Arabidopsis thaliana: one gene and its partners. The protein of the gene in region 1 interacts with the protein of each later gene in a pairwise test. Each region holds a gene or a part of one and is shown on either strand. Other genes may lie near its edges. The genes, in order: SAUL1, AT2G20110 and AT5G03050.

What was found.
Region 2: the proteins of SAUL1 (region 1) and AT2G20110 interact in binary tests that used the Arabidopsis thaliana proteins (3 or more experiments, as listed by UniProt).
Region 3: the proteins of SAUL1 (region 1) and AT5G03050 interact in a two-hybrid assay, tested with the Arabidopsis thaliana proteins (2 studies listed by BioGRID).

The regions. Positions count from the first base shown.
Region 1 is NC_003070.9:7,212,133-7,223,124, forward strand, and holds SAUL1 (senescence-associated E3 ubiquitin ligase 1), read left to right. Parts: upstream 1-4,888; 5' UTR 4,889-5,273; exon of another isoform or gene 5,274-5,661; 5' UTR 5,662-5,679; coding exon 5,680-6,216; intron 6,217-6,312; coding exon 6,313-6,622; intron 6,623-6,918; coding exon 6,919-8,477; 3' UTR 8,478-8,710; downstream 8,711-10,992. Other genes in the region: AT1G20760 (Calcium-binding EF hand family protein), read left to right, coding at 362-433, 512-610, 898-969, 1,060-1,174, 1,287-1,355, 1,454-1,812, 2,063-2,641; AT1G20770 (coiled-coil protein), read right to left, coding at 3,213-3,289, 3,373-3,460, 3,551-3,600, 3,684-3,830, 3,953-4,070, 4,349-4,516; AT1G20790 (F-box family protein), read right to left, coding at 8,829-10,136. UniProt on the Arabidopsis thaliana protein: Functions as an E3 ubiquitin-protein ligase. Prevents premature senescence probably by targeting proteins involved in this process for degradation. Promotes the degradation of AAO3 and thus represses abscisic acid (ABA) biosynthesis.
Region 2 is NC_003071.7:8,680,245-8,690,463, forward strand, and holds AT2G20110 (Tesmin/TSO1-like CXC domain-containing protein), read left to right. Parts: upstream 1-3,872; 5' UTR 3,873-4,251; coding exon 4,252-4,535; intron 4,536-4,738; coding exon 4,739-4,846; intron 4,847-4,945; coding exon 4,946-5,123; intron 5,124-5,203; coding exon 5,204-5,551; intron 5,552-5,651; coding exon 5,652-5,737; intron 5,738-5,821; coding exon 5,822-6,243; intron 6,244-6,315; coding exon 6,316-6,626; 3' UTR 6,627-6,974; downstream 6,975-10,219. Other genes in the region: AT2G20100 (basic helix-loop-helix (bHLH) DNA-binding superfamily protein), read left to right, coding at 304-360, 565-609, 1,230-1,565; COV1 (CONTINUOUS VASCULAR RING protein (DUF502)), read right to left, coding at 7,324-7,415, 7,530-7,656, 7,783-7,880, 7,970-8,137, 8,226-8,335, 8,430-8,482, 8,919-9,077. UniProt on the Arabidopsis thaliana protein: Plays a role in development of both male and female reproductive tissues.
Region 3 is NC_003076.8:709,582-719,686, forward strand, and holds AT5G03050 (knotted 1-binding protein), read right to left. Parts: upstream 6,767-10,105; 5' UTR 6,640-6,766; intron 6,408-6,639; 5' UTR 6,403-6,407; coding exon 6,340-6,402; intron 6,252-6,339; coding exon 6,102-6,251; intron 6,026-6,101; coding exon 5,952-6,025; intron 5,857-5,951; coding exon 5,721-5,856; 3' UTR 5,720-5,720; exon of another isoform or gene 4,462-5,719; intron 4,441-4,461; 3' UTR 3,646-4,440; downstream 1-3,645. Other genes in the region: iqd2 (IQ-domain 2), read right to left, coding at 799-1,455, 1,583-1,702, 1,988-2,209, 2,362-2,688, 2,766-2,825; AT5G03060 (striatin-like protein), read right to left, coding at 7,141-7,382, 7,461-8,097; IMPA-9 (importin alpha), read right to left, coding at 8,887-9,051, 9,178-9,483, 9,561-9,619, 9,706-9,787, 10,005-10,105.

The DNA of each region.
Region 1 (10,992 bases):
CCTTAACGAAATTGTTAGCTCTTTTGAAAGAGGGAATCTTGATTTTTCTCTGAAACGTTTGAAAGATTGTGTGTAAGATTAAGACCAATCTACTGGAATCTGACCATCTAGATTAAGCTGCAGAACTTGAATGTTATCTAGGTAATGGTCTTATAAGTTTGAGATTGTTGGTCTCCTGAAGTTCTGATCTTTTCCTATAGGAACGTATTTCCTGTTTGAGGCTTTGCTATTTAGATCTAGTTCTTCAGCTTGATCTATTATCTTATTTAGATTATATTTACAATCTGTGTGTCAGAGAGTAAGGTTCTTGTGCTGAGATCCAATTCTCACCATCCCACTTTTTCATTCATCTTTCTCTCAGGTCTTGTACAAAAGCAGGTGTGACAATAGATTAAATGAGATCTCCGAAAGGGCTTCTGCTGACAAGCGTGAGGTGCTTTTCACATAGAAAATCACTTTTCTCATTTCCTTAGAAGCAATTCTGTCTTATCCAGAACAATTTCTGCTGCAGGCTGAAACATTGGCAAAGAAGTATGAGGAGAAGTATAAGCAAGTTGCAGAAATAGGGTCAAAATTAACTATTGAAGAGGCCAGGTTCCGTGAGATTGAGGTATGACTAATTCAAGTGGCAACACCTATGTACACTCCAGCCGTATATTTTTTTTTCTCCAGTTCTTCTATGTGCATTTTCCCTTACTAGGCTTATCTAAACTTCATCATTGTTTTTTTCTTTTTCTTTTTCTCTGGATCATGTTGTGCGTCTTGTCCTCTCCTCTTATTCTATGGCCCAATGCTCCCTTCTTTCACCTTTGCTGGTGAAGGGGCTTTGAATAATTTTGTAACACATCTTACGGAAATTTGTTACTTATTGAACTTTTGCTTTGCTAACCCATCCAGGGGCGGAAGATGGAGTTGAGTCAAGCAATTGTGAACATGGAGCAAGGTGGTAGTGCTGATGGTCTCCTTCAGGTACATGCTATTCTATATGCTTACGAGATGCCTTAACTGTCGAGTATCTGCTGTACATGCCTGATTTGATGCTGTACTGGGCACATTTAGGTCCGGGCTGACAGAATACAATCAGATCTTGAGGAATTGATGAAGGCTTTAACTGAACGATGCAAGAAACACGGGTTGGAGGTTAACTCGAAGGCCCTTGTAGACCTTCCAGCTGGTATATGATTCCGTTGCCTTGTGACTTCTTGCTTTCGTTGTAGATGATTGCAAATAACATGTATTTTGTAAACAAACAACTTATGTGGAATTTGCTATGTTGTGACTTACAGGCTGGCAACCTGGAATTCAAGAAGGTGCAGCTCTTTGGGATGAGGAATGGGATAAGTTTGAAGATGAAGGTACAATGTTTTTTCCTATCTTTCTCTTACTAATACACTTAGATATATATAGTTAAGCACATAACAAGGACATTGACTGATAATGTTCCCACTGTTAGGTTTTGGCAATGAGATCACTTTTGACAAATCAAAAGAGCAAAACTCGTCTGGTGAGAAGGAAAATGGTACGGTGGATGATGGTAGTGGGCCACCTGATTCGCCGACCCATGTAGAGGACAACTATGGCCCTTTTTCAGAAACCTCAGACCGCCACCATGAGAGTGAATATGGGACAACTCACAGTGAAGATAGAAGTCCTAGAGACAGTCCTGTCTCTAGGAATGCTACTGAGGTCCCATCTCCAGATTATTCTCAGGGAAAGAATTCTGAATTCTTTGATGACTCGAATTGGGCAAGTGCATTTGACACTAACGATGATGTGGATTCAGTCTGGGGATTTGATGCATCAAAAAGCCAGGTTAGTAAAGAAACATAGTGTCTCTCGCTTTAACACATCAATCCATCTATCAAAATACTAAATCAAATCTTTCAGTTGTGACGAATAGACATTGAACTGATCTTTTAATTTCTACAAGATTTTGAAAATCCGTATTAAGTTCATGCTTTTCAGATTTGCGATGTTACATTTACCTTCTGTATGCTGAATCATTTAGTTATCTATTCAGAGTCTTAACCAAGCTTAGCATTTTCAATATCAACATTGGCAGGATGGAGATTACTTTGGATCAGGTGACGATTTTGGTGGAAACACAGCAAGAGCAGATTCTCCAAGTTCAAGAAGCTTTGGCGCCCAGAGAAAGAGCCAATTTGCATTTGATGATTCAGTCCCCAGCACTCCACTCTCAAGATTCGGGAACTCTCCACCTCGGTTCAGCGATGCATCAGCTAGAGATAATAACTTTGATAGCTTCTCCAGGTTCGACTCCTTCAACACCAGTGAAGCAGGCGCCGGGTTTTCTTCGCAGCCCGAGAGACTGTCTCGGTTTGATTCCATCAACAGCTCCAAAGACTTTGGTGGAGCTGCCTTCTCTAGGTTCGATTCAATTAACAGTTCCAGAGACGTCACTGGAGCTGAGAAATTTTCGAGGTTTGATTCCATCAACAGTAGCAAAGACTTTGGTGGTCCCTCGCTATCAAGATTCGACTCTATGAATAGTACAAAGGATTTCAGTGGTAGCCATGGATACTCGTTTGATGATGCAGACCCGTTTGGTTCCACAGGTCCCTTTAAAGTCTCTTCGGATGAAAGCCCTACGAAAAGGTCAGATAACTGGAACTCCTTCTAGCCTCGGTTACTATCGTTCCCTTTTATAATCCTTTTTCCTCGCTTGATGAACTTGTGCTTGTTTCATAATTATAATTTTTTCACCAAATTCTGGTTTTGGATGAGACACTAGCGTTAGTCTATTTGTAATTTGTAAAGTTTGTCTCTGTATTGGTTTCCTACTGTATCTCTGTTATGTTATGAATTCATTTGCTTTATATGAAAGAAATATTTGAGGATTTCGTCGTGGATAAGAGATTAAAGGACAATGAAATGATTTTATTTTTCTCCATTTTTACTGTTTCTCTTCTCCAAAATGTTTTATTATTTTGATATATCCTTAGCTCGAGGTCTTGTAAGAACTTCTGGTAACATTTAACCAAATCAAAACAGATACACTTGAAGGTGGTAGCTACAAAATTGAAAATCGAGCTAATGCATTGGTACATTCTAACCCTCTGACTCGAAGAAGATATGATTTTCGCAGCATCAAACTGCTATGATCAATGTAACATCAGTCTTTGAGGTTGGCTCCATTCTGTTTCCGTTGAATCCACTGAGCACATTTCAGGATCAGTTGTTACCAAGGAACTTCACTTCTCTGTGATCCGCTCAAAGGCAGATATCATCGATGCACGCATGTTGGCTATTTCCACCAGAGTTTCAAGAGCTGTCCAAAGACGAGAGAAAAAAGAGTTTCAGTTGTAAACTGGAATCTTCCTTTGAGTATACTTGTGGTGATGAGGATGTTACCTGTTTCAAATGATTGTTGAGCGCCACGCAGCTTAGGAGAGACTAGACCTCCAAATACTGACAGAGATTTTGCCCGTTCTTTCTTTATCTGGAGCTCAACACATTCGAATTAGTAAAACCATCGTCCTACATTTTGAAAACAAGTAGAGTTTCTGCAGACGGTTAAATGATTGCTCACCTCTTCATCAGCTGCTAAAACGGTTTCATCCTTGGCTGATGGTTTCTCTTCTATCGAATTACATAAAGCAAGAGATGATGAAACACCGACAAACAAAGGGCAGAGAATAACCAACAGATGAGTCTTTTTTTACCAGAAACTCCTCGATGTCGTAGCTGTGGGCTGAGAGGTGAGCCTATCTCCGAATCTGTATCAGTAGAGAAGTCTTTGCCTTTCCTGCTACCGCCCTTGGAAGCCCACTTGGACAAAGCAAAATGAGGTACTGATCCCAAAGATTCAACTACAAGAGTCCATAGACATACACTGTATATAAGTTGCTTCCCCGCAAAAAAAACATAAATTCATAGCATATAAACGTAAACCATTGAACTATCAAACGCCCAAAGCATAAGCCAAACTTACCATCTTGGTCAGTCACTTGCAATGTTGAAGAAGCGGGATGATACTTAAGATCTAAGAGAGTGCTGTTGATGCGTAAAGTTCCCATAGAATGTCGAGCACTAGCTAGATCAAACCATCCCTGCAAAAATAACACATTTCAGTTCCATACCAAATAAGTTAATTAAGGCAGCAGACTCTCACTCTCATCATATCAGTGATATGAATCCACAAAAAAGTTTCTCCTCATGGCTACTATAGCTAGATAATCAACGAAAACGTTTCCCACGCAATCCTTTTTAATCCCAGATTCAATTCAATTCAACACAGAATATCTCAAGTCATCTATACATCAGAACATAAGAATCATTCCCATAAGATCCCATTTTAGCTCAATACACCAAATATCATTCCAATTACCTCTCGAAGCTTAGAATTCACAGAATCCATAAGCGTTAAATATCCATCCAACGAATCTAGAAACTGCAAAACATTCTCATCTCCTCCCCCTTTTCCCAGCTCAGTTTTCACTTCTGATTCTTTATTCACATCCACTGATTCATCTCCTTCCTCGTAAATCTCCGCCATCGAAATTTAGCTCCAACACACGCGAATCAACAAATCGAAGCTTACACGAGGAAGACAACGTAAAGCGATCGAAACAGAGACAGATCAATTTCTCGAGTAAACGAGGCTATTTTCGTAATATTTCAATTAGTAAAGGCCCAATAGCCCAAGTAGAAGACAACGTAAAGCGATCGAAACAAAGACGGATCAAACGAGGCTATTTTCGTAATATCCAATTAATAAAGGCCCATTAATACCAATAGCCCAAGTCGAAAGATTACCTCTTTCGGGTCAAACCGGTTATGTTTATGGGTGGGTGGGTAGAGCAAGTCGAGTGTGTGTGAACACAGCGCCAGGCTGTTTGTCTCAGTTTGTCAAGTTGGCGTTTGGTGGCTCCACGTCTCTCTCTATCTCTCTCTCTCACATGACTTTTCGATTTTAGTCAACCTTTCGTGCTTTTCTCTTAAAAATTCGATTTTTTCTTCAACCCATCTTCTTCTCTGTTATTTCCTCTCGCTTTTACCTGTCTCTCTCGTTCTCGCACGGGGATAGAATCAACTCTGCTCGAGATTTTAGTAGGAGGCAAGCTCGATTGCTTGCAATTAGATCCATGGATGAAGAAGAACTCACACTTTCTCGCGCGTTTTTAGCTCAAGGAGATTTTTGAAGAAGTGGTCGTTTTCGAATTGTCAACTTCAGAAGAAGAATCAACTTTGGTTTTTTCTTTTCCCTTCTCTGTATAGCTTTGAGGAGGCGCTTCTTCAACTGGAACAGGCTGGTGTGCTTTTTTTTTTATCTCTTTTGGTATTTTTGAAATGCTTCATGAGACGTTGTTTCTCTTCTTTATCTTTTTGACGAATATTGCTAAATTTGGTAATCTTGCTATATAAGGGTTCATGGGAGTGATGATTTTGGGACACTGTTACTTTTCGTATTTTAGGTTATAGTTATGATTGAAAGTTTGAATTTTGTTTCCTTGGCTGTGAAAGAATCCGGGAACCAAACTGTGGTACTATCCCTTTTTGTGTTTCCAAAACTTTCTCATTCATTTACTATCAAATTTCGACACTTTCTTACCAGACTCTCTTGCATTGATGTATCCAAGTGGGTTTTCATCTAGGATCCTATGTTTCATAACAATGAGGTATTTGCTTGTACATTTGCAGTGAGTTTGAAGGATTAAGATGGTTGGAAGCTCGGATGGTGACCAGTCAGATGATAGCTCTCATTTTGAGCGAGGAGTAGATCATATCTATGAAGCATTCATCTGCCCATTGACAAAGGAGGTTATGCATGATCCTGTCACTTTAGAGAATGGTCGAACATTCGAGCGTGAAGCCATTGAGAAATGGTTCAAGGAGTGTCGGGACAGTGGGAGACCTCCTTCTTGCCCTTTGACATCTCAGGAGCTGACTAGCACTGATGTAAGCGCCAGCATAGCTCTGCGTAACACTATCGAAGAGTGGAGATCCAGGAATGATGCTGCCAAGCTTGACATTGCTCGTCAGTCACTGTTTTTAGGGAATGCTGAGACAGATATTTTGCAAGCTTTGATGCATGTGCGACAGATTTGCAGGACCATCCGATCAAATAGGCATGGTGTACGCAACTCTCAGCTTATCCATATGATCATCGACATGTTAAAAAGTACTAGCCATAGAGTGCGGTATAAGGCTCTACAAACTCTGCAAGTTGTCGTTGAAGGAGATGATGAGAGCAAGGTTGAATCTGATTTCTTTTCATCTCTGCTGAATATTTAGTGTAGCATTTTAATGGGAAATTGAGCGGGTGCTAATTAAATTTTCAGCATCTTGCAGGCGATAGTAGCTGAAGGGGACACTGTGCGTACACTAGTTAAGTTCTTATCACATGAGCCATCAAAGGGGAGGGAGGCAGCTGTTTCCTTGCTGTTTGAGCTCTCTAAATCAGAAGCTTTGTGCGAGAAGATTGGTTCCATTCATGGAGCACTAATATTATTGGTTGGTCTGACAAGCAGCAACTCAGAAAATGTTTCAATTGTTGAGAAAGCTGATAGAACCTTGGAAAATATGGAGAGGTCAGAGGAAATTGTTAGGCAGATGGCTTCATATGGTAGACTCCAGCCTCTTCTAGGCAAACTCCTTGAAGGTGAAAGAATTTCTTTTCTTTGTTTGGTTTTAATATAACAATTACGCTCTCTACTTCATTTGCATAAAACAAGTTATCATCTTCCTTCAGTTGGTAAAATTCTTCCTTCAGTTGTTCGGATGCATCACAGTGTTATGGTATTCTGCCTTAGAATTTGTTTGCTCTAGGAATTTTACATGTTCGCTTGTAAGAAGAGTCAATTTTCTTCTACCCAGATGGTCAAATCTTTCATTATTTTCCTCTGTTATATGGCAAATTTCTTGTATGAATAATGACACCACATGTGAAATCTGCAGGTTCACCTGAAACAAAACTCTCTATGGCTTCCTTTCTCGGGGAGCTTCCCTTAAATAACGATGTGAAGGTTCTTGTGGCTCAGACTGTGGGTTCTTCTCTTGTCGATCTTATGAGAAGTGGTGACATGCCCCAACGGGAAGCTGCCTTGAAAGCTCTTAACAAAATCTCATCGTTCGAAGGGAGTGCTAAGGTCTTGATCAGCAAAGGAATTCTCCCCCCACTTATCAAAGATCTGTTTTATGTGGGGCCAAACAACCTTCCAATTCGGTTGAAAGAAGTCTCTGCCACTATTCTTGCTAACATAGTGAACATCGGGTATGACTTTGACAAAGCCACTCTTGTTTCAGAGAACAGAGTGGAGAATCTGCTCCATCTAATTAGCAACACAGGTCCAGCGATCCAGTGCAAGCTGTTGGAGGTTCTTGTTGGACTCACCAGTTGCCCAAAAACAGTTCCAAAAGTTGTTTATGCAATTAAAACCTCCGGTGCAATCATCAGTTTGGTTCAGTTTATAGAGGTCCGAGAGAATGATGATTTGCGGTTGGCTTCCATAAAGCTTCTTCATAACCTTTCCCCATTCATGAGTGAAGAACTAGCTAAGGCCTTATGTGGCACTGCTGGACAACTCGGAAGCCTTGTTGCTATCATTTCAGAAAAGACACCAATCACTGAAGAACAGGCTGCTGCTGCTGGGCTCTTAGCTGAATTGCCAGATAGGGATTTGGGTCTTACTCAGGAAATGTTAGAAGTTGGTGCTTTTGAAAAAATCATATCCAAAGTGTTTGGAATCCGCCAAGGGGATATCAAGGGAATGAGGTTTGTGAATCCTTTTCTGGAAGGACTTGTGCGTATACTTGCTAGGATTACTTTTGTTTTCAACAAAGAGGCTCGGGCCATTAACTTTTGCCGTGAGCACGATGTTGCGTCACTCTTCCTTCATCTGCTCCAATCCAACGGGCAAGATAACATACAGATGGTGTCCGCCATGGCTTTAGAGAATCTTTCACTAGAGTCTATAAAGCTGACACGGATGCCTGATCCGCCTCCTGTGAACTACTGTGGCTCGATCTTTTCGTGTGTGAGAAAACCACACGTTGTAAACGGGCTGTGCAAGATCCACCAGGGAATATGTTCATTAAGAGAAACATTTTGCCTTGTCGAAGGAGGAGCTGTGGAGAAATTAGTGGCTCTATTAGACCATGAAAATGTGAAAGTGGTTGAGGCCGCACTTGCAGCTCTATCGAGCTTACTAGAAGACGGGTTAGATGTAGAGAAAGGGGTCAAGATACTCGATGAAGCGGATGGGATACGGCATATACTAAACGTTCTGAGGGAGAACCGAACAGAGAGGCTGACAAGGAGAGCGGTTTGGATGGTGGAAAGGATCTTGCGGATTGAAGACATAGCAAGAGAGGTGGCAGAGGAACAGAGCCTGAGCGCTGCACTTGTGGACGCTTTCCAAAACGCTGATTTTAGAACGAGACAGATCGCTGAGAACGCGTTGAAACACATTGATAAGATCCCAAACTTCTCAAGTATATTCCCAAACATCGCATAGGGAAAATCTCTTTGAAACTGTCCAGTGAGTTATAGTGATTTTAAAACTGTGGTTTTTGTTTTGATGGGATTACTTGTTAATAGGCATCCAGTTTTTTTCTGGGTATATATTGTAAATTCCGATTCTTATTTGTTTATAAATCCTACGTTGGAAATCGAAATCATTTGATTGGCCTCAGATTAAAAAGGCTTATGTGTGTTGCGGAGGGAGTTGTGCTTACTTTTGCATCAAATATATATTGAGTTCATAGATTAAACCAATTTGTAAAACGTTTTAAGCTTCACACAAACTGATTTGAGATTTGGGAAGAACAAAAACAACTCTTTCTTCGCACCCTTTAAATAAACTAATTTAGTTAATAAAAGACAAAGTACGATTAACCAGACCCATAATAGCCATTACAGATGAGATGACTTCAGATCTGGTAACGGTCTCGGTCTCGGTCTTGGTCATGGGCATAGGCATAGGCATAGGCATAGGCATAGGCATAGCCATGGCGATGGGCATAGGCATAGGCATGGCCATGGGCATAGGCATGTGCATGTGCATGTGCATGTGCATGGGCATAGGCATGGGCATGGGCATGGGCATAGGCATGGGCATGAGCACATGTACATGTTCTTGATCCAGTAATCCAATCACAGAAGACCACGACGGCTTAAACAGAAAAAAGTCTCGATCAGCATCGCACCACGTTGGAATCGAACCCAAAACTCTCCACTTGTTAGCTCTCAAGTCGTATCTGTGAATCACTGAGCCAACCAGACTCATCATCCTCACCAGTAAACACTTGCCGTCGTACGCCTGCACGTTCCAGTACAACAACGGTAAACTTTGGTGCACCACCTCGTTCTTGATCCACCTCACGAGGATCCATTGACCATCAGTCTCGAGGGCATAAACGGAAATCACTGCATCAGTAGCCGATATCAATGTCAGGCGGTTATCGCCGGTACAGAGCAAGAGCTTCCCCGGTTTCCGGTTAAATTGGCTTTGAATCAGTCGTGCTTTCTCTGTTTCGGGATTGAACGCTACGATGCTCCCGTCTTTTCTCAGCCAGTGAAGATCTCCGTTCACGTAAACAGGTTTCGAATTCTTACCCTTTTTGAGATTACTTGCGCGGCAAGTAATGGTGGTTTTCGATAAGCTCCATGATTCTCCGGTGTTGATCCTGAATTGATACGTCGTTTCGTATGGATTTGAAACCTCTAGCTGCTCGGATATGAAAACGATTTTGAATCTCTGAGTGGCTCGATCGATCTGATCAACCGCGAACCCAATCCACGTTTCGTTTCCCCATATAGAGTAATGCAGGAACCGGAACTTCTTTGTGAGAGGATTAGCGACGCAGAGGATACCATTAATGGATAATAGGACAAGGCCGGAACAAGAACCGAGAATATTACACAAGTTCTTCAAGGGTGTCATGTTTTTGAATAACCTAGAAATGGCATAAGGGTAGAAACAGAGGAATTTAGAGCCAACTTTGGAGATATGAAGCAAACTGGACCCGATCCGAGAAAAGTATTCGAATTTAAAATTTGGGTCGTCGGATATATGCGTGTTGATAGATTTATTTGTGCATCGCATCTTCCCCAGAGATTTGGGATCTAAGTTGAAGAGAATCTCATCGAGGAGATGCAAAGGTAATCTCTTCATGCTGATCTCAGTGAGGATTTAGGGTTTATGTTTTTATTTTTGTTCCTTTGGATCTGCGTTGAGGTTTATGTTAAGCGATCTATTTGACCAGATTTTTCGTTTAACATCTCCAGATTTTTAGTTACTCCCAAATTATCCCCATTATTAGAAAAATTAATTGACTTCTTTTTCGTTTATTTTCTTTGGGAGATAAGGTTAATCAGTTTAAAATACAGGTCAAGGATAAAAGATTTATTTCACAATATAATTTGGTTCATGGGTAATACATACAGAGCAAAATTCATACCATTGCTCCACACTAAACAACACAAAAACCAAAGTTAAAAACTTTCAACAAAATCTCTAATCAATCCAAAATTACACAACTTCAGATACCTAATAATCTAAAACCAATACACAGAAATCTCAATTTAACAACAAAATTGCAAACCCAATTCTTCAAATCTCATCAAACACCAAATCGTTTAACGCGATCTACAAAATCGATTAAAGCCAAAACGATATTCTAATACAGAAATCTAACATGTGCATTGACAGTGATCGCAGTATGGTTCCGATGAATTAATCACATTTTCCTCAACAATGTAGCAGAATCAGAGAACTCTTTGTCCCATGGCTAAAAAGAGTACACCACAGTCCACACAGGCATACGACGGATATCATAATCTTTGAACATCAATAGACTTCTTGACCTTACGTGCAAGGTCTTGGCTGATCAGATGAGAGGCAAAACTCCAGAGCAGATGTGTGAGCACTTCAACATCAAGAACGATTACACACCTGAGGAAGAGGCGGAAGTTCGCAATGAAAACAAGTGGGTGTTCGAGTGATTGGATTGGAGTGGATCGGTGTTTAG
Region 2 (10,219 bases), on another chromosome or scaffold:
TATTTCATTTATTTCAAGACAAATATTTATTTGAATCTTCCTCACAACTACAACACAAATAATCATTTGTGAACCCAAGTATGGAATTATTTGGAGTTCTATCTTCCTTTTTTATTTGGGATTTTTTTTAAATCATAATAAGAACTGAATAACATAAGTAAATTGTATTCTATTGAAACAATTAGCTGAGGTTTATGTATTTCTATAGCATTAATTAATTTAACGACTATATTTTGTGAGATTAGTTTTGTGTGAAAAACTATTTAGTTTTGTTGTCACTCTAATTAATTTTCACAATTACAGGCTTTAAGTCTACCATACTTTGGTACTCCCTCGAGGAACAATATGATGCACCAACATGTAAGTATTAAATTAATATACAGCTTTAATTAGTAACATGTATAATGTAATTATACACTACAAGATGCACATACATGCATGGGTTTCTACTAACACATCATATATATATAATGGGGCATTAAAATGTATCTTTTTTTTTTTGGTAAGTGCATTAAAATGTATCTGAATGCTAATCATTATTAATTTGTAATTACGTGAATATAGGCACAAAGAAATATGAATGGTATATTTCCTGAGGACCCTGGTCAGGTACGCACATATATTTTTTTACTTTCTAGTTTTATATACTTTACTTTTTATTGGATCAACTAAACCCAAATCTCAATTTAAAAAAAATAAATACTTGCCAGCTTTATTCCAAAACAATTACCCTTTTTCTCTACTATTGTTCTCTTGAAATTGAAATGACTACGATAAAGTATGGTCAATAAAATAAAAAGATGACATTACCAACTTTCCTTTTCAGTCCTCTATTAAACCTAGAAAAGCCATTTAAATGATTTATTATATTTATTTTCCTCAATCAGAGTAGCTTTGGTCACAAAAGTTTTTTTGGCAAATGATCGATCTAAATCAACTTTTCCAACCAAGATATCACGATTCACCTGTCCCACAAATGGTTTTATATTTTGTGACTACTTGTGAGTTTGAAATTAACTCTGACTCAAAATTTTAGCAATATTTTTCAAAGCAAAATTTATCGCTTTTCAAATTCAGAAAATTAAATACAAAATACTCACACTCAAAGGTATTAAACCCGCGGATTGGTGCACAAAACAGTAAATATTCATTTTTTGGTTGCAAAACAGTAAATATTCATGAAACTGGCATAGGTTATTTTATCCATATATCATTTACATGTAATACAGGCCGACCCACCGCAAAAGAATTTGGGCTGTTGCGAAGTAGGCCAACCCGTTTTGTCACCAATACTCCCACTAGATCACACTTTCAATATTATTTTAAATATCTATGCTGAAGAAATATTTTCTGATTTGGTTAATCAGCTTGTGAATGAGTATTGCATGAAAAGAGGAGTTTCATTGTCATCGACGGACAATCAAAAATCAAATCCTAACGAAGAACCGATGAAAGATTTGAGAAGTAGAGGGCTTTGTCTTGTTCCCATCTCATGCACACTACAAGTTGGCAGCGACAATGGTGCCGACTATTGGGCTCCGGCGTTCGGAACCACTCTCCAGTGAACTATTCACTTTCTGTTATTTTATTTTTGGTCAGCCAAAAAAAAATAGTAGATGTTATAACATCATGAGCAACCAATCAATTGAGAAAACATCAAAATGAGTTTCCAAATTTGATTGCTCATGATGCTATACTAAAACCGATTGGTTTTGGCGTTTGGCCTTTGAGCATTTTCAGTTGACGAGTATGAGATGGCTTGTTGAATCATGTTTTTCTTACTTTAATAGGAAACTTTATTTATTCTCTTAATGTATATGTTGGTTCTATTTTAATTTTATTATTGTTATAATAGAATGGTTAAACAGTTAAAGATGTTTTCATACTAACTTCATCACTAGGTTTAATCGTTTAAGATGTTTTAAAGAAGCAAGAAATGTTGTCTTCGGAAAGAAAACAGATGTACTTATAGATACTTTCTGTTCCCAATAATTTAGAGACTAATGATTTCTTTTATAAATTGTCCTAATCAAAGTTTCGTTTGTTTTAGTTGTCTTTTTAGATTTCTCGTGCATGGTCTCAGCTCAGTTTATTTTTAGACACTTCAGACATCTCACCATGGTATTGGAATTGGTAGTGCTCAATTGGTGGGTTTATTATAAGCCCTTTGCTCCATCACTATAATTGGGTTTATGGACTTTGAATTAAATTCTACAGGCCCATGGGTTTATGGATATTGTTTTCAGCACATGTCAAATGTCAATATATGAAAAATTCAATGTGGAGAAACTTCTGGTGGCTTCATAAAGAGTAAGACTGCATTTCCTGATAGTAGTAGTGTACTGGTGTGGATGCAGATAACGTTATTAGAAATCAAAATTGAAAAGGTAGCTATTTTTAGGTCACATATTGTATCATTAATAGTCATTGTTCAATGATGAAATAATGAAAGACTAAAACTCTTGGATTGAGTCTTAGAGATCTATAATGTAACTTAGGGCATTAGCTTAGCCTTAATTTCACATGGTCAGTGCTTTAGTGTTGTGCAAATGAACTTGAGGAAGAAGCATTAGTTGGATTGAAGTTTTATTAGTATGCTTATATATACTTTTGTAATTCCTCATATAGTGAAGTGTCCTTCAACGTATTAAAACATAAAATATAAAATGGTTTGAGACTTGTAATATCTTTTATTTTCATGCAAATTTTTTTTTAAAAACTTTTATAAGAACAAACTTAGCAGTTGGTCTCTAGCACAATGAGTTTATTGTAGAATTTTGTGGAATCAAATTTAAGATTTAATTAACCTGAAAATAAGTTTAATAGATTTGTGACATCAAATTTTTAAAATGGAATCACAGTCTTACGTTTTCATTCCATCTCTAAAGTATGAAGGAAACCTGTAATGAAGCTTCCATGCCACCTAAGTTGTACAAAGTTCTTATCTAGCCTAATGAATAAAACCTAAAAATTAAACCAACTACAAAAGTTCAAACATGAAAAGCACATAGGAAAGGATCTAATCCCGATGTCGAACATCATAGTTCACTCATATGATTTTCAGTTTTCGTTGGTCTTGTGTGTTTTAAGTCTTTTTAAGTCTTGTGTGTTTATTGGTACCAAAAAATTAAATATTCTTCTAAAATTTACGTATCTAATTAAAAGAGAAAATATATATAATAAATCTTTTAACTATTGGTAATAAGTGTTAAAACAAATCTCAACTTTATAATAGAGTAAATATCAATGTTCTTTTTGTTGACCACGCAAAATAGACCTGAAATTAGTCAACTTTAACTATACTATTGTATTAACTAAATGTTAATTTTTAGTTATCAATTTATTATTTTGAGAAGATAATCAAACTGTTAACTAAAAATAAAAGTCACTTTCAGTTTCTATAAATCCCCAAAAATCAATTATAAACCCAAACTCTTCCTCACTTCATGTTTAAAGTTTAAACCAAAAAAAAAAAAAAAAACTCTTCAAAATCCTGATTTTGGGGAAGAACATAGATTCGCAAATCGATTCCTCTTCATCACGCAACATCAACAAAATAGTCAGTTTCGATTCCTTTTCTTACTTAGATTTTTTGTTTTTGTTTTTGAATATTTAAAACTATTGGGGCATTTTCGTGAGTAACTTAATAATTTGGGCCAAAACCGTTATTTTAAAACATTACTTCTCTATTATGTAGTAGTCACGAGTGATCGGATCGGACGGTGAACGATCGACGAAACTTCAAACCTTATATGAATAGTAATCGTCAGATCAACGTATTTAATAACAACCGTACGATCAAAATGTCTGTGAAATCTAACCGTCGAATATAATCCAGAAAATTGAAATTTCAAAACATGTATAAGAGAGGGAGGAGCAGCTCTCGCGAAGACGAAGAAGAAGAAGAAAAACCCCAAATTTCTCTGTTTTTTTTCGTTGGGTGGTTCCTCAGTGGTTACCAAATCTCTCTTCTTCTTCTTCGTCAGAAGCTAAAACCTTTCAAAACCCTAATTTCATCTATCTATCTCAATAAGTCTAGATCAAAAATTCGAATTTCAAAATCCCGTTTTGAGTTTTAGTAGATTCGGTTTCTGGGTTTTCGTAGAAACGGGATTAAGGGCGGATTCAGATCTTGAAATTTTTGTGTGTTTCTCAAACTGATTATAAATTTTGGTTTTTTTTTTTAAATTTCGTGTTTGAAAAATAGGGAAAATTTCTGGGTTTCTTCTGAGAAATTCGAATTTTTTGGAGATGGGAGAAGGTGAAGAAGGAGACAAATTCCCGCCAAAAACGGATGAGGTTACACAAGAGTCTATGAAGTCGGCGAGGCAACTCGATTTTACTGGTGGTTCTTCCGATGTTGAGCATTCACACTCTAATCAAGCTTCTTCGATGGCTGCTGCATCAATCCCTTCACCGATTGTGACGGTTACGCGGCCAATAATTACCAGTCAGGCACCACCGACGGTGGCGACTCCGATTCCACCGCCGCCACAATCTCAGGGCATCATCCTTCACGTCCCAATTAGACATCCGTAAGTTTCTCTCTTATTCAAAAATTTGAACTTTTGGGAAGTTGATAGAGATGTGTTTCTATGTTGCTGAAGTCAGATTTGGGGATTAAAGCATAGATCTTTACATTGATTTGAAAAGATTATTGAAATTGACATTTTGATTTTCATAGTGAATAAGGCAAGGTTTGAATTTCTAGAGTTGACACTTGTTTTTGTAATTGCAGGAGGCCCGAATCTCCGAATTCGATGCCAAGGCCTGCTGGGGAAACTAGAGATGGAACCCCTCAGAAGAAGAAACAGTGTAACTGTAAACACTCACGGTGCTTGAAGCTGTAAGTCTCTCATCATACCATTTGATGACAAAACTCTTTGTTTCTTTGTGGACTTGTTCATTGTGAATTGAACACTGTACAATGTCTTTTTTTGATCAGGTATTGTGAATGTTTTGCATCTGGCACTTACTGTGATGGTTGCAACTGTGTAAATTGTTTCAACAACGTTGAAAATGAACCTGCGAGACGACAAGCGGTTGAATCAACTCTGGAACGGAATCCGAATGCGTTCAGGCCAAAGATTGCTGCTAGTCCACATGGTGGACGAGATAACAGGGTATGTGGTTTGTGTTATGCTCTTTAAACTGTTGGTCTTAAGGTTGTTGGATAAGTTATAAATTTTGACTCGATTTGCAGGAGGAGGTTGGTGACGTTGTGATGTTAGCGAGACACAACAAAGGCTGTCACTGCAAGAAATCCGGATGTCTTAAGAAGTATTGTGAGTGCTTTCAAGCAAACATTCTTTGTTCTGAGAACTGCAAATGCTTGGATTGCAAAAACTTTGAAGGGAGTGAAGTTAGACAATCTCTTTTTCACGGTGAACATTCCCACAACTTGGCTTATCTTCAACACGCAAATGCTGCCATAACCGGAGCTATTGGTTCCTCTGGCTTTGCATCTGCTCCACCTCCTAAGAGAAGGAAAGGTCAGGAGATTTTCTTCAACCAAGGAACCAAAGATTCATCCACTCATAGGCTTGGCCAGGTAAATCATTTACGCAAGTTTATTTGCTTAGTCGGGTTCTATATGATTTCCTCCTTTGTTAGAGAAATGAGAGATCTTATAGTATAATTATTGGTATCAGGCAAATAACGGAAGAACCACATCTTCGCAAACTGGTTCTCGTGCTGGAGGCAATGCGTCGTTAGGCCCATCCAAAGTTGTATATAAGTAAATTTCTGATGTGTTAACAAAGCTAAATCTTTTCTTTGAGACTTGCAGAAACTGAGTTATAAAATATGTTTTCTTTTGAAGGTCTCTTTTGGCAAACATAATTAAACCAATGGATGTGAAAGCACTATGTTCTGTTCTGGTTGCTGTAGCTGGGGAAGCTGCAAAGACATTAACAGAAAAACGGTTAGCAAATCAGAAAGAAACTTCCGTAGCTTCTTCTGTGCAAGATCAAGGACACGTCAATAATAAAGCTGAGAAATCTGGTTTAGAGGATTCAAATGCAGATGGCTCCAAAGGGAGGTCACTATCTCCAGAAACTTTGGCATTGATGTGTGACGAACGGGACACAATGTTAATGGTTGCAGCTTCACCTAATTGTTCGGTGGAGCCTACGTCACAGCTACCAAACGGGCAAGACCAGGTTTATGCAGAACAAGAAAAAGTAGTATTAACCAAGTTCCGTGACTGCCTTAACCGAATAATCTCCTGTGGAGAAGTAAAAGGTAACCATTTCTTATATCATCAAGAAAATGGAGTATATGCCCAGACATAAAGATTCACTTATTCAAACCTAGTTTTTTGTTTGTTTGTTGCAGAATCAAATTGTTCTATGTCAAGAATGGATCTAGATACACCTGTACAAACGACTGTCAGAATCGACCCAGTGGTTCAACAAGCTCCAGTTGCAAATGGAGTTTCACAAACCGCAAAGCAACCTTCCCAGCTAAACACAACAACACCAAACACATCCTCACAAACTGCAAATGGAGTTTCACAAACGGCAAAGCAACCTTCCCAGCTAACCACAACAACAACAACACCAAACACATCCTCACAAACTCATCTTCATAAAACTCCAGCTTTGTCTGAGAAGAAAGACCTCTAAATCAATTATTTACTCCTCTAGGAAACAATAACTTTACAGAAATGCAGCTGCATCCATCTCCCCATGCCTGATATATGAGGTACTGCCACCAACACTCCTTTTCATTCCTCTTACATATTCTAAAACAGAGGAGAGGTGGCAGCTTCAGCGCATTAGCAGGTGCTTAGAGAGTATTACTAAATAACTATTCACAATAATTTTGGTTGAATTATTAGGCTTTCTTCGTCTTTCCTTTCCTCCAAATTCTTCTCTCTGATTCATAAGAGAGCTGTTTCTTTACAAAAATTGTTGTCATTATTTGTGTACATTGTTACTTACCATTGGCAATCACAGTGATGCTTATTGTGGAACATACATGCTATTGTCTGATTCTGATATGCTTTAGGCACTATAGAAGACCTGATGTTACTTCATCTTGAGATTTGAAGAATAAATAAACCAAATCAAATTTTGGTCTTTTAAAAAAAGAGGATTTAGTCAATTCTTGTAAAACTAGAAGAAATTTCGCAATACTTTTCAAGAAGAATAATATTTTCAGGAAAAAGATTCATATCTAAGAAGAGAGGGAGAGAGAGACCTACCTTACATTATACACTTGTAAACACATGAAATATTACAACAATATTGAAGAGACTCCAGAGACACACAAACACTCATCAACAAATCCCAACAAAAAGAGAAATTCTTCTGCTTTAAACTATAAGCTTGTAGCTCTATCAATCGAGGCCAAAGGTTTATCAACAGTGGACAGAATCTGTGGCATTGACATTCCACCCGAAACAACAATCTCTGCAGATGAAGAATGAGTATACAGTGTTCAGTATCTTTCCACAAAATAATTTGAATGCTATATAACAAACGATAAATGTATCTAGTACAGACAATTAGATTCTGAAATCTCACCAATTCCTTCCCGGACCGAGAGGTTTGGCCTGATAACGTCATTACTGTTGACAAGTAGTAGATCTCCAATGTAAAGGTGGTTCGTGGGAACGTATACACAGCAAAGTTCCTCCTCGGTTGGATAGTTCTGCAAGGACGAAGGACATTATTACATTGGATAAACAAATGATGTAATTATAGTAAACCATGCCTCGAGATTGTATCTGCCTTCGTATCCTTTACCAAAATCGTTGAGCAAAGCAATTTCACTCACCTGGAGAACAACAGTTGATGTAATGAAGCCAAATGCGTATTCACCTACACGGGGATGCCTGATGATTGCAACTTCCTTGAAAGCTTGTGTATTTTGATCTGTGATGAGAAATGGATAAGAACAAGATGAGATAGGAGATCAACTTAATGTTGAGAAGCAAAACAAGATTTTTATAAGCAAGCTAGACCAGGCGATATGGCAGTGCTGATTTGCTTGGAGGCGTTGTAGATGTGACGAACAAACGGCATCCGCTTGATAAACCACTCTCCCAAGTTCAGAACCGATGCCCCCAACCACGAAGACATGAACACCCCAACCAAGAAGATGAATGCAATGGAAGTCAAAAAACCGAAACCTACAAAAAACCATAATCAAACTTATTGTGGGAAACGGAACGATATCAAATTGTTCATTCGATAAAGAAGGGCCACTCAAATTCTTACCAAATACGTTGATTCCAAGTTGTGCATATATTGGAGAGAAGAATCCATCGACAAAGTGAATAAACCACCATGTTATATAGAAAGTAATTGCAATAGGAAGTAGGATAACACTACAAAAAGCAATTGAGATTTGAAACTATCAGCACAAATCTTGAATATGTGACAAGTTTCATCAAGCCAAAATTTCAGTAAACTCTTCCTTACCAGCCTGTCATGAACTTCTTTGACGCCCAGCCCCTAATGAACAAGCTTAAAGTCTGCAGAAAAATAGATAAAGCATCAGATCACAATGCTCCTATGTGTTATATATGCTTGAAAACATGAATTAGCATGACATAGAGACTCAAGAATCTGACAGATCCCAATAAAAACACTTAAGATCTAATGCAAATTAATACTCTACTCAGTGAGGAAAGGTCAAATTTCTATAAGCATCTTAAGAATTAAGATCAGTGTTAACACACTACCAAACTTATCTAAGCAAGTGTTCTTGTAATATACTGAATCTAGGGCTAAACCATGTTCCAAGATTTTGCACTAAGGGGTTTCTCAGAATGGGCCAAATCTCTGAAGACTAAATCTTGAAAAGACCTAAGAGCTTAAAACCAATCCAATTCAACTGTTAATTGCGCATGAATCTTGAAATGAGAAAACGAAGAACAAGATTTTTAGATCAGGTGACAAAAACTAGACCTCGTGGCTGGATTGATGCGAAGAAGAAGAAGCAGAGGAAGAAGAAGAAGGCTTCGAAGAAGAACCGTCGTCTTTGTCGCCGGAATCAGCGACGGGAATCAGAAGCTCTCGATCTCTTTCTCGATTGGCCATAACAATCACCGGCTTCTCGTCTCCCATCGCCAAGAAACCAAAGAGACAAGGAAATCTAGTCGGAGAAAAAGAAAGAAGAGAGAAATGCCGGTGAACTGTGAACGGCGGAGAGGAAAAAGGCTGAGACTTTTGCCGGCGACTGTTCTTTTGTAGCTAAGCTTAGCTAACTCCAACTTGAGCTCTCTGTCGTTTTTGGATTTTTCTTTTTATATCTGTCTTCTTTTATTTATCCTTTTCTTAATTATAACATGATTAATTTTTGTTTCAAATTACTGTATACAAATTATTTTCAAAAGATGAAAAGATTAATTTTATTGTTGTGAATTAATATATCAAAAATTTATTTGTTCTACTTGAAATCATATACATTCATCGTAAAAATAAACTTTACAATAAATATTTTATTATCTAGAGTAAAACATTTTTGATTCTTAAGCAATATCAAAACAATTCCATCATATTTAAGCAAAAAATAACTAATTATAGTATATGTTTTAAATGATTTATACTGTAATATTTATTATTGTCATTTTTGTTTGTTACATACGTCTTCGAATTATCACATTAAAAGAGAAAATTATTCTAACGATTATATATTTTCCCAAGACTGCACCCAATGTTAAATCTGATATGGAAAATAATTTTCTTACAACTTTCAGATTTATTTTAAATATAAAAGTTAAGCAAAAACTATAATATATATATATTTGAGATTTCTATATGAGATAAAGTTCTAAAATAAATTAAAGTTTACAAAGGCAGAGAAATGAAGATTCATAATTAGGTCAGGTGCTAAGCACAATCCTCCTCTAAGAAAATTTTGGTCGATACATTTTTAGCTGCAGTATTTTATTTCACCATAAGAATTAGTAACATGTTGGAAACAAAACGTACCTGAGATCAAAAGAAGAGCTAGACAGAGAAATGTTAGACCATTTTTTTCTTCGATCAACAATGTCTCTCTATATATACCACATTTTATACTATTCCCTAATATGTAAAACGATATTGCCATTTGTCATGTGATTATTATTAGGGTGGGATTATCTTTGATTATCTTTTTGTTATAAAGTCAATGCGACAGTAATATGAAAGACACAAGGACGCGGATACAAATTATAATCTATAAGAAAAGAAAAAAAATTATTTTTAAAAGGGCTAAAAGAAAA
Region 3 (10,105 bases), on another chromosome or scaffold:
CTTCGATTGTCGAGTTTCTCGATCGAATTGGGGAATGGGTTTAGGGTTCTGGGAGGAGAGAAATAAAAATTCGCTGCTGCTTTTTTTTTGTTTTTTTTTTGCGTGGGCAGGAGGTCGGTTTGAAGAGAACTTCCTTCTTCTTTTCTATTTAATACTGTCGGTTCAACAAATTTGTCGGTTCAACAAATTTGTCGGTTAAGTAAGTCAAAACCGACCATTTTTGTAAGAAAAGGTCAAAACCCCTCTTCCTCTACCGGAGGGTTTGGTATACAGTTTTGTTCCTTTCATATCGCCGCCAAGGCAAAGTACTATACCTAATCTTCCAGAGAATGTTTGATTTCTCGCCAAGTAAATAAAAAAAGGGAATCTTCAAAGATTCTTTGACAGGATTATGTTTGCGATTACAAGTAAAAAAGATATGAATATTTTTTGAAGGAAAAACATACAAGCACAGATATTCATAGTTCATAGTACATACAAGCACAACCTAACGTAGAATAAGATATTTACGACTACAAATAAAAGGTATTACAAATTAATTAAGCTTTAAAGGATCTGCATTACAATACAAATAACATCATCATATTCCAATTCATCCAACATTAATAAAAATAACTTAAATATTCAAAGAAACAAAAGAACATGAATTTTAAAAGGTTATAAAATTTATTATAGTAAAAAAATAAATGACTGGCGCTTACACTGCACAAATGAATTACGAAATGAAGGGAACACATAAGAGACAACAATCTCGGACACATTCATAAGTGGGAAAATAATTATATTAAATAAAATACCTCAGCTGCCTGCTCCGTTGGTCACGGTAACGCCGCCACTCTCCACCTTAGGGGGAGCTGAGAACCGCCGTGGTTTAGGCAATGCAGGCGAAGTTGGATACGAGAGCCGTTTCTTAGCTGATGCCTTGTCTGTGAACCCTTCGTTTTCCTGTGTGGTACCACCTAATGGGCTTTGGGGCTTGAGCCTGGCTCGAGCTGATTTAGTTGGAACCATGTAGCTCGGGAGAGCTGGTGAGCCAGCGAGGCTCTCATCGTCTCTGACTGATGAACCAGCAATGCTGTGTCTGCGGTTCCTCTCGGACAGGACCGAGATTGTGCTTTTGGAGTCGTCGTCATTGGATTTCCTCGAGGATTGGTTTAGCCTTGAGGGAGTTGGAGGTGAGAAGAAACTGTTTTTGTTTCTTGGGGTCCCTCTTGCGGATGATGGTGTGTTTGGTTGAGTTGAGCCATTGCGGGTTAGAGATTTTGCAGCTTCGTTGCGGTTAATAGAGCCCTTGACCGAGGCAGCATTGTCATTGTTGCTGTTGCTTTGTTCTTTCTCGGAACTCTCTAGTGGCCTACCAGCCATCCATCTCTCTAACCAGCTCCAACCCCATGTCGGGTTGCTTGGATCCATGAACATCGGGTTTCCAGATTTAGAGTTGTTCTTCCAGTTTTGCTGCAAACATGAACATATAGGATCATTACAACATTCAAATGAACCACAGATTCAACTTCAATGGATGTGTTCACTTTTTAATTGTATCTTTCCACACATTCAGCATTATAGGTAACGACTGGAGTACCTGATGAGAGTATGAATAAGCCAATGCCCTTTCCCTTCTCATTGTTGCCTCGTACTTGCTTAGCAAATTCGCTTCAACTTTCTCCTTTGATTGAATGCTATCATTCCAGTTATCCCCGTTCTGTGAGCAGCAACAGGAAAAATAGTACTTTTATAAGCAAAGGCCCAAAGATTCCATTTTCAGATAAAAAAAGAGACAGTAAATTGATAGTGTAAGTAAACATCTATTTGATATGAATGGTAATGCTACTATTAACCCTTTCCAGACTAATAAGCAGAAACATAATAGCAACTGCTAGGAAGAAATCAACAGTTCTTACTTCTTAGCAATCCTCTCACCAAAAACAACGGAAGAAACTTTGAATAACAAGAAAAAAACTGAATCAGATGAATATGAGAGACAGACCTTCAAGCCAGCTAGCTCTTTAGCATGTTTCTGAAGGAGTTGTTTCTGGCGAGCCTGATTCTCTTCTGACATCCTGATTCTCCTAGCTCGGATCTGCGACTGTACACGAGAGAGAGTCTGCATACATTTTAGAGTATTTGCAGCTTGCCGCTTAACAACAGATCCTTCCATCAATAACTTAAGTCTGACCAAACCCCTCATTGCCCGCAACGCTCTCCTTGCCTGTATTTCAGATATTACACAAAATAAGATTATACTCAACAAAGCAGCTTCCTTCACACAAAATCAAGTGCCTCGGTCAAACTCATACGAAATTCCGAAGGAATTAAGTTTCTGCAGATAATAAAGCCAATTGCAAGAGTAGAATTACATACCAAATAACCTCTAAATATAGTCTGGATCAAGATAGCAGCGGCTTCTTCGTTTGACTTTCCAGCAAATCGAGTAGGTGTAGCGCGACGAACAACACCAGGAGCAGATGAAGATGGAACTACAGGAACATCAGTAGCTGTAACATTCACAGCATCTGCTGTAGAAGGAGGTGAAAGATCCCTGTTCCGTTCAACAATCACTTCAGCTACTCTCACTTCACGAGGAGCAAGAGCAGGAGGAGGAGAAGAAGAAGATTGTCTAACATTATCCACAACAGGAGGATTAGAGATAACACCATTTTGTCCCTCAGCCAATTTTTGCTTCGACTTCTGAAAACACATCAACATGTCAATATATACAGACTATAACATTAAGTCACATCAATATACAAAAAAAAAAACTTCACCTTTGAATCTGGGCTGAATGCTTTCTTAACACTTGAAAACCATTTAGCTTTTTTCCCCATCTCTATGTAATCCTTCACAGAGAAGAAACAAATTATTCCACAAGGAAACTGAATCTACTGATCTCAGTAGCTAAATTACGACAGATCTCGAAATCTAGAGCTAAAATTCACCAATTGATACTGAATCAGGGAGAGAATGAATCGTACCTATGAGAAGACAGTGACACCAGATCTGATAGACGAAAAAGCTTGAAGATAAAACCTGGAGGAGTCAACTAAACCACAACGCGGCTTCTAAGTAGTGACCTTATCGGAGAAGACGAAAAAGCTTAAGAATCGAATCGATTGGATCTTTGCTGAGGTGCGAAGATAACTTTTCTTCTTCGAATTGCTTTCACATTATCATAATTGCAAATGGAGAAGAGAGAGAGAGGAGAAGACAGATGGATTCAAAGCTGTGTGAAGAAGAGTATTTGTGACGGTGTGTGTTTGTGCGTGATGCCACTTAATTGGGCCTCTTTTGTGGGCCCCATTCTACTCTTCTTTTTTTCCTTTTCTTCTTCTTAATTTACCAACTTCGTCTCTCTTTTACTCTATTCTTTTCACTTTTTTTTTTTAGTGATGAGTTTTATTTCTTAAGTTTCATAAACACTGTTTTGTTAATTTTTCTTTTTATAGTATAGTATCTTTAGATTTATTATTATTTGGTGCATTTCAAAAATAGTATACATAGTTGACATGGTATATTGGTGTTTTCTCTAAAAATGTTTGAAATTTTCTTAAAATATGGATAACGTGTAAACTGGAAAATGTATTGGATTTTGTACCTTTTTTGAAACTAGATAATTTAATGAACAAGTTATGAGGATCGATAAAACAGTGACCATATAAATTTTAAATTAATTTATAACTTTATCCGGTAAGATTGGTCTTTAATTTCACCTAATAAAACAAAATTGTTGCAATAAAAAGTTTTTATTCGTCTTTAATTTTTGTCTTTAGGCGGGTTAAAATATAACACTATATTTTTGCCGTTAAATATCTGTTATTAATCGAATTAAGATTTAAGATCGTATTTTTTGTCGTCAAATACCAATTGTTTATCGAATTAATTCATCTGCATAATCCGTATAAAGTATGTGTGTTTTAATACACGCTTACATTACTACAACCGACAAAACATGTGAACAAAATATGTCCACCAGTGAGACAGCCTTTATCATTTTAAAATATACTCGTTAACAAGCCACCATATACGATACTTAATACTTTCTGGATTTGATAAATCATGAAAATTAGTTGGTCATTGTACTTGTACACCATATCATATTTTATGTTCAGATCCACCCACACTACTAAGTTAATCTCCGATGGATGAACAAAGAAAATATTTGACTCATAATACCTAGTGACACAAACCATAAATAATGCTTTGGAAAAACTCGTTTTATGCAACAGCTATTAGCAGACTGTATTTTGCTCTATGATCGTGTATATCCACCACAAAAGCAATTTCCCAAATTATATGGATTGACATACAGTGAACTAGAACGATGATTGAAAGAGTATATAATTTTTGTCCACTGGATTAAGTATTATCTGCCTGAAATCATTGACTTTTTTCGGAGATAAACCCAAAAGGTTCCTTATCGGTGGCCAGCTTGTACCAGTCTTCCTGTAATTTTTGTGGTTAAGAAAAAAAAAAAAAAAAAAAAAAAGCATATATATGTCCAATCACTCCATGTGGCGTCTTCTCTGTTTCGTTAGTATAACATCCCTAAAATTATTTTCATATAAAATAAGTGAGAACTAGCCGTTGGAATTTGATAATTTATTTTAGCTAATCATATGTCCAACATATCAAAGTCCTATGTATAACTGTTTATATAAAGATATGCCTCTGATAACTTATAATATTAATAGGTATCTGTATATCCAAAGTCGGTAGTTGAATTGGGGATATGGACATTCCACCTAATGTATAATTCAAACTTTGTCGTTGCCAATAAAATAAAAAATAATTATAAGCTATTATGAAAATTTCTCTCCCCGTCGGTCAACTTTGAGTTGGTCTTTGCATTCTAGCAAGTGAAATTTATAAGTTAATTAAACCGGGGGAAAAAAAAGATAACTAAACCAAAATTGAACCGAAAAATCCATTTGGCATTATCTGAAATGTAAGTGGGGCATGGAAATAAGGTCAGGGCCGTTAGCGTTTTAAAGATATTTAGATGAGCCAGTGAGTTTGGTAACGACCCGACATTTAAGTCTTGTCGTTTTGTAACAGAGCAACGGTAGAAGATTCCTATATTGGCTAACACCTAAACCTGAACCCATGATAACGCCATACCTTTTTCTTCCCAGTGAATTTAATTGAATTAACAGTTTACAACTTCATATATAGATTAGTCCATGTCCATCTATATCACCTCAGAGAATTTAATTTCACCACTATTCAACTTTTGTTACTACTTCAGTTCATCTATTTTTTCAGTTAAACATACACATTTAAAATAATATTTATAGTTATAAGAAAACAATTTTATAATAATATTTTTTAAAAGATAGGGTTACGTTCAGCATGAGAGTTTTTGGGAGATTGAGTTGAAACAAGAACTGAGAAAAACATTTAAGAATTGCAAAAGAGAATGAAGAGTTACTGGTTTTTGATCGAACTAGAGATATGAGTCATTTTCTATATTCACTCCAAAATCTAATAAAGAAGCAAACACAATTCTGGTTTTAATTAGCTGAGAAAGGTTCATGATAAGCTATTTCTATGTTTCCTTCAAAACATCATAAAGTTTTTGAAACTGAAGAAATCTAAATTCTCAAACCAACCATATGTTGATCTAAAGTTATATATATGACTTCTTACACCACTGGACGACAGAAGATAATCTATTCTTAGTAATGGCTGATAGTACTTCTTGATAGGGTTTTAGACTGTTTACCTCATTGCTCAATGCTAGGATTCTGAATCAGATAGCGAGCGTTGTGTAAGAGGGAAGTAGTCTCCTCGTTTGATGCATCAAGCAAACGCAACTCCTTGATCTCGTCCTGCCATTTCTCAACATGTTCCTTGTGTATCCTGTTTCATAAATGTGAACAGTGTTACACATGTGAGTGTATAAACATCTCAATCATGGTACATACAGAAACATTATAGAATCTCTTCAAACTCACATGATCAAGCGTTCTTCGAATTCGTTACTGAGTTCCTTGAGCATTGTTTTCCCTGTTTCCAGCAAGTTAGAAACCTACCACAAGAAGCATCAATCAATATCAGATTCTTCCTAAACTTAAGCAATCAGGGAAATGATAAGAGCAGCTTACAGTTTGTGTGAAGCTCTCAATCTTATCGAGAATTTGCGCAATGCTAAGTTCCATCTCATCAGAAGCAACAAGTTTCGTCTCAGCTTCTTCATTCTCAATGGTATGATCAAGGCTAATTCCATCTCTCGAATCTCCTTTTCCCTCTTCATCCTAACAAATTTCACAGGACAAAATCAAAAATCTGATCCACCACAAAATCATCATCACCAGATCAACGACAAATTCAAAAAAAACTTACAGATGCTCTCATGCGTTTCCGAAATCCTCCATTCCCTGCGTCTTCTTCCATTTCAGTGTTCATCAAAACTGCAGTAATTTAAAACGATGCTCATGAACGCATAAACAGATTAAGAATTAAGTTTTCTACTCGATGCGATTGAATCCACTAGCTAAAGCATCGCAGCAGATTCCGATTTCAAAATCTAAAAACCGTACGATTACATCCCCAACAATCTAGCTTAGGATTCTACAATAGAACGGAAGAAACTAGATCGAGATCGACGAAAAAACCTCCGAAAGAGATTAACAGAGAACTTACGCGATGAAGATCGAAGAAATTGCTCAGTACGAATTGGAGAGAAGAAGATGAAGAAGTTTTAGAGAGAGTCCAGTGAGTGTAGAGAATGAGGAAGAAAAGCCAATTTGTTTATTCCGAGAATCCATTTAAATAAGCGTTTAGATTTAAGACTTATTTTATTTTATTGTCTCTGTTTCATAATCATCACTAATTAAGTAATTATGCTTATACAATGCTATTGGCGTTTTAAGTATGGAGGAGTGACTCAAGAATCAAAGCGATTTAGATGCGATTTGATATTAAGCCGAGTAATCCAAACATTTTACAAAAAACATACAGCCAAAATATTCACCTAATCAGATACTAATCGTTTTTTTTATCTATCTCGTCCAAAAAATGTTACAACCTCCGGGACAAAACAAAAAACAATAAACCGGAGGATCGATAAGATATACCTTAAACTAGCTTAACTTAAGAGTGAGCAACTTCTTCTGGCTCAGTGATCACTGCATCGAGAAAGGTTCAAGACTTGTTATAAATATCCCGGGACCTTTTAAAGGGAAGCTCAACGAATACATGTTCAACTGATGATGATGATGATGATGACGACGATGATGACAATAGACGATTTACTTTTGATGAGCTTGGTCCAGCTGATTGTTGTTCTTGTTTTACATCAACAGAATTTTCAGAGATTATGTTACTCTCTCTTGGATGAGGATTATCATTTTCAGCATCACTCTCGTCAAGGATCACAATCGTATCTGCACACAACAGAAAATATTCAAATAAATTTTCTTACAAGAGAGGTTCACCAACATATCAAGAACATACATACATACCTGTTGGAGTGTTATTCACATTATGATCATCCACCATAATAACCTCATTCTTGATAGTCACATTATAATCCTCCACCACAATAACCTCATTTTCGAAAGCCACATCGCTACTCCCTAGACCGGCGAGATTCTCAGCATCAAAAAGCGATTTCAAGAATGAACATTGTGATTCAGCCGCATCAAATCTCTCTTTCAATTCAGCATACTTGTTCTCCATCTTCTTCAGCTTCTCCACTTCTTCCTCTTTCGCAATCAAAAGCTCCTGATTCTTAACACTCAAATCATTGATAATGGCCTCTTTCTCACTGATCATTCCCTTCATCTCCTTCATATACTCCTCTTTCTCACTTCTCTCTTTCTCTAAATCCTTAAGCAAGCTTAGAATTTTCTCCTCGAGTTCCTTAATTTGCTTCTGATATTGAAACTTCATTATCTCGTTCATTTCATTCATCTGCTTAAAACTTTCCTCTATACTTTTGTAATCTTTTTCCAGATTCTCATAATTCTCCTTGAGAATTTCATGTTTTGTCGCCAAAATCTCCTCCTGAACAACCAAATTTCTTCTTGTCGGAGTAGCCACCGACGAGATTTTGTTCTTCCCCGATTTGTTTGAACGAGCTGATGATTTTCCAGTCATGACGTCGAAACCCTAACCCTGGATATCAACACAAACAGCGGTCAAGCTTTTACTAGAGCTTCTTTATCTTTGCCAAATTTACAAAATTTCACAGATTTCTAAAGAAACCCTAAAACTCAAATTCGTTCTAAGCTCCACCGGAAGAAGAACGGGGAAACTAACACTAGCGGATCTTTAAACCAAAATGTACAACGGAAGAAGAAGAAGAATCTTACCCAGAAAATCTTTTGAATCTTCTTCTTCTTCAAACGACCAGAAGAGAGAAAGAGCTAGCTACTGGAAAATGAAAGTAGCTACAGAGAAGGGAAAAAGCAAATCCCTAGAAACAGAGAAAATGAAGCGGGAATACGAAAGGACAACATATTCATGATCAAGTTAATAATTGAATCTTTGTTTAGTGTTAAATTGAACTTAATCCAAATTTTTGTTCTCTTCCCATTCATGTCCTCAAACAAGTAAAATCATTTACTTTAGTTTAGCTTAGATTAAAAAGATAATTCGATATTCAAATAAAATACCACCGTATCTAAAAATCATAATTACATTGACAGTGTATCTTATAATTGGATTTGAAGTGACAAGGAGGATACGACAAAAAGGAATCAAACCTTCGGTGAGACAAAACTGTATTACAAGTAGTTACAACAACAACCCAAAAGACAAAACCTAAAGACTATTGTCTTTCTCTCTCACTCACTATCGTTACAAGCAAACGCTAAGATGACTAGTTTCCTTTTGATTTCATCATCCGACTTTCTTTGTATTCTCACCCTAAAATCCGAGGCGATTTCATTCATCGATTCCATAATCTTCACCAAAGTATTTATCCACAAGACTGTTCGCCATGACTCTCAGCTCTTCGTTCTCATGAAACTGAAACCGTTCCATTGCATCGATACCGTCTTCTCCTTCCACAAGCTTTGGCCCTTCCCCGTTTGGCATTCCTCTTAAAACCTATCCACCAAAGAAATCAAAACCAATTAGGATCATTCCTGTTCCAAATATGACTATGCGACATCAACATATAAGCAAAACTCGTGTCTCATTGAGCTTTTAAGAGCCATTTAATTAGTTGCTTACCAGCTCAATGAACTGAAGACCAAGCCTAGCAGCTTCGATATCAGGAGATCTGACCAGCTCAATGAAACCCCGGAGGCAACCGCCACTGACAATAGAGACTAAATGCTCTTGAATTATCCTTGGTTTTCTGTCTCCTTCTGCAGATTCTACACAGAGATTTCCCAAGACATAGGCAACTTCTTTCCTTATATCAAAGGGGGATGTGGAAAGAATCCGTAGCAACAATGGCATTACTTCAGTAGAATGTATCATTCTCTTGTGTTCAATAGATCCCGCCGCTATATTAGATAGCACCCAAGCAGCTTCCTACAGAATCGAGTATAGTGATGAAAGCTTCATATAATTGTAAAAAATTAAAACCACAACGGGAATGTGATACTGACCTTCTTTAAAACACGGTGCTCGCTTCTTAAGCACTTTGCAAGCACACCAATGATGCTTTCTGAAATTTAGTTTGCAATATAAGTATCTTGAATATATAGGATTAAGGTGATGATGTTTAACCCGGAAAAGATAATAGATACTAGCCTTCAGTGTTCTGTTCACGGATAAGAATTGTTAATACTGCTTTGGGATCAACAGCGACAAAATTGCCTAAACTTCGGAGAACCTGGATTCACATTTTTGTTTTAGAGATAATCAAGAATGCAACATTTGAAAATTAAGGACCACGTAGTGAGTATTCTGATTCTAATCATTCATGCTAATATGAGTATAAATGACATCGATGGGACTTGGAACTGGAAGCAATTGAATAGCATAATCTGAGGTAATATTTTAACTAGAATCCTGTTTCTTTTGGACGATAAGGTCTATCTGAAAGTTACCGGGATGAGAAGTTGTAGGCTACTTGAGGTTGCTAATCTGTCAATAAGTAGTTGAAGAATGCCTCCCTTCAAGAGCATACTTGTAGCGATATCTGAGAGGG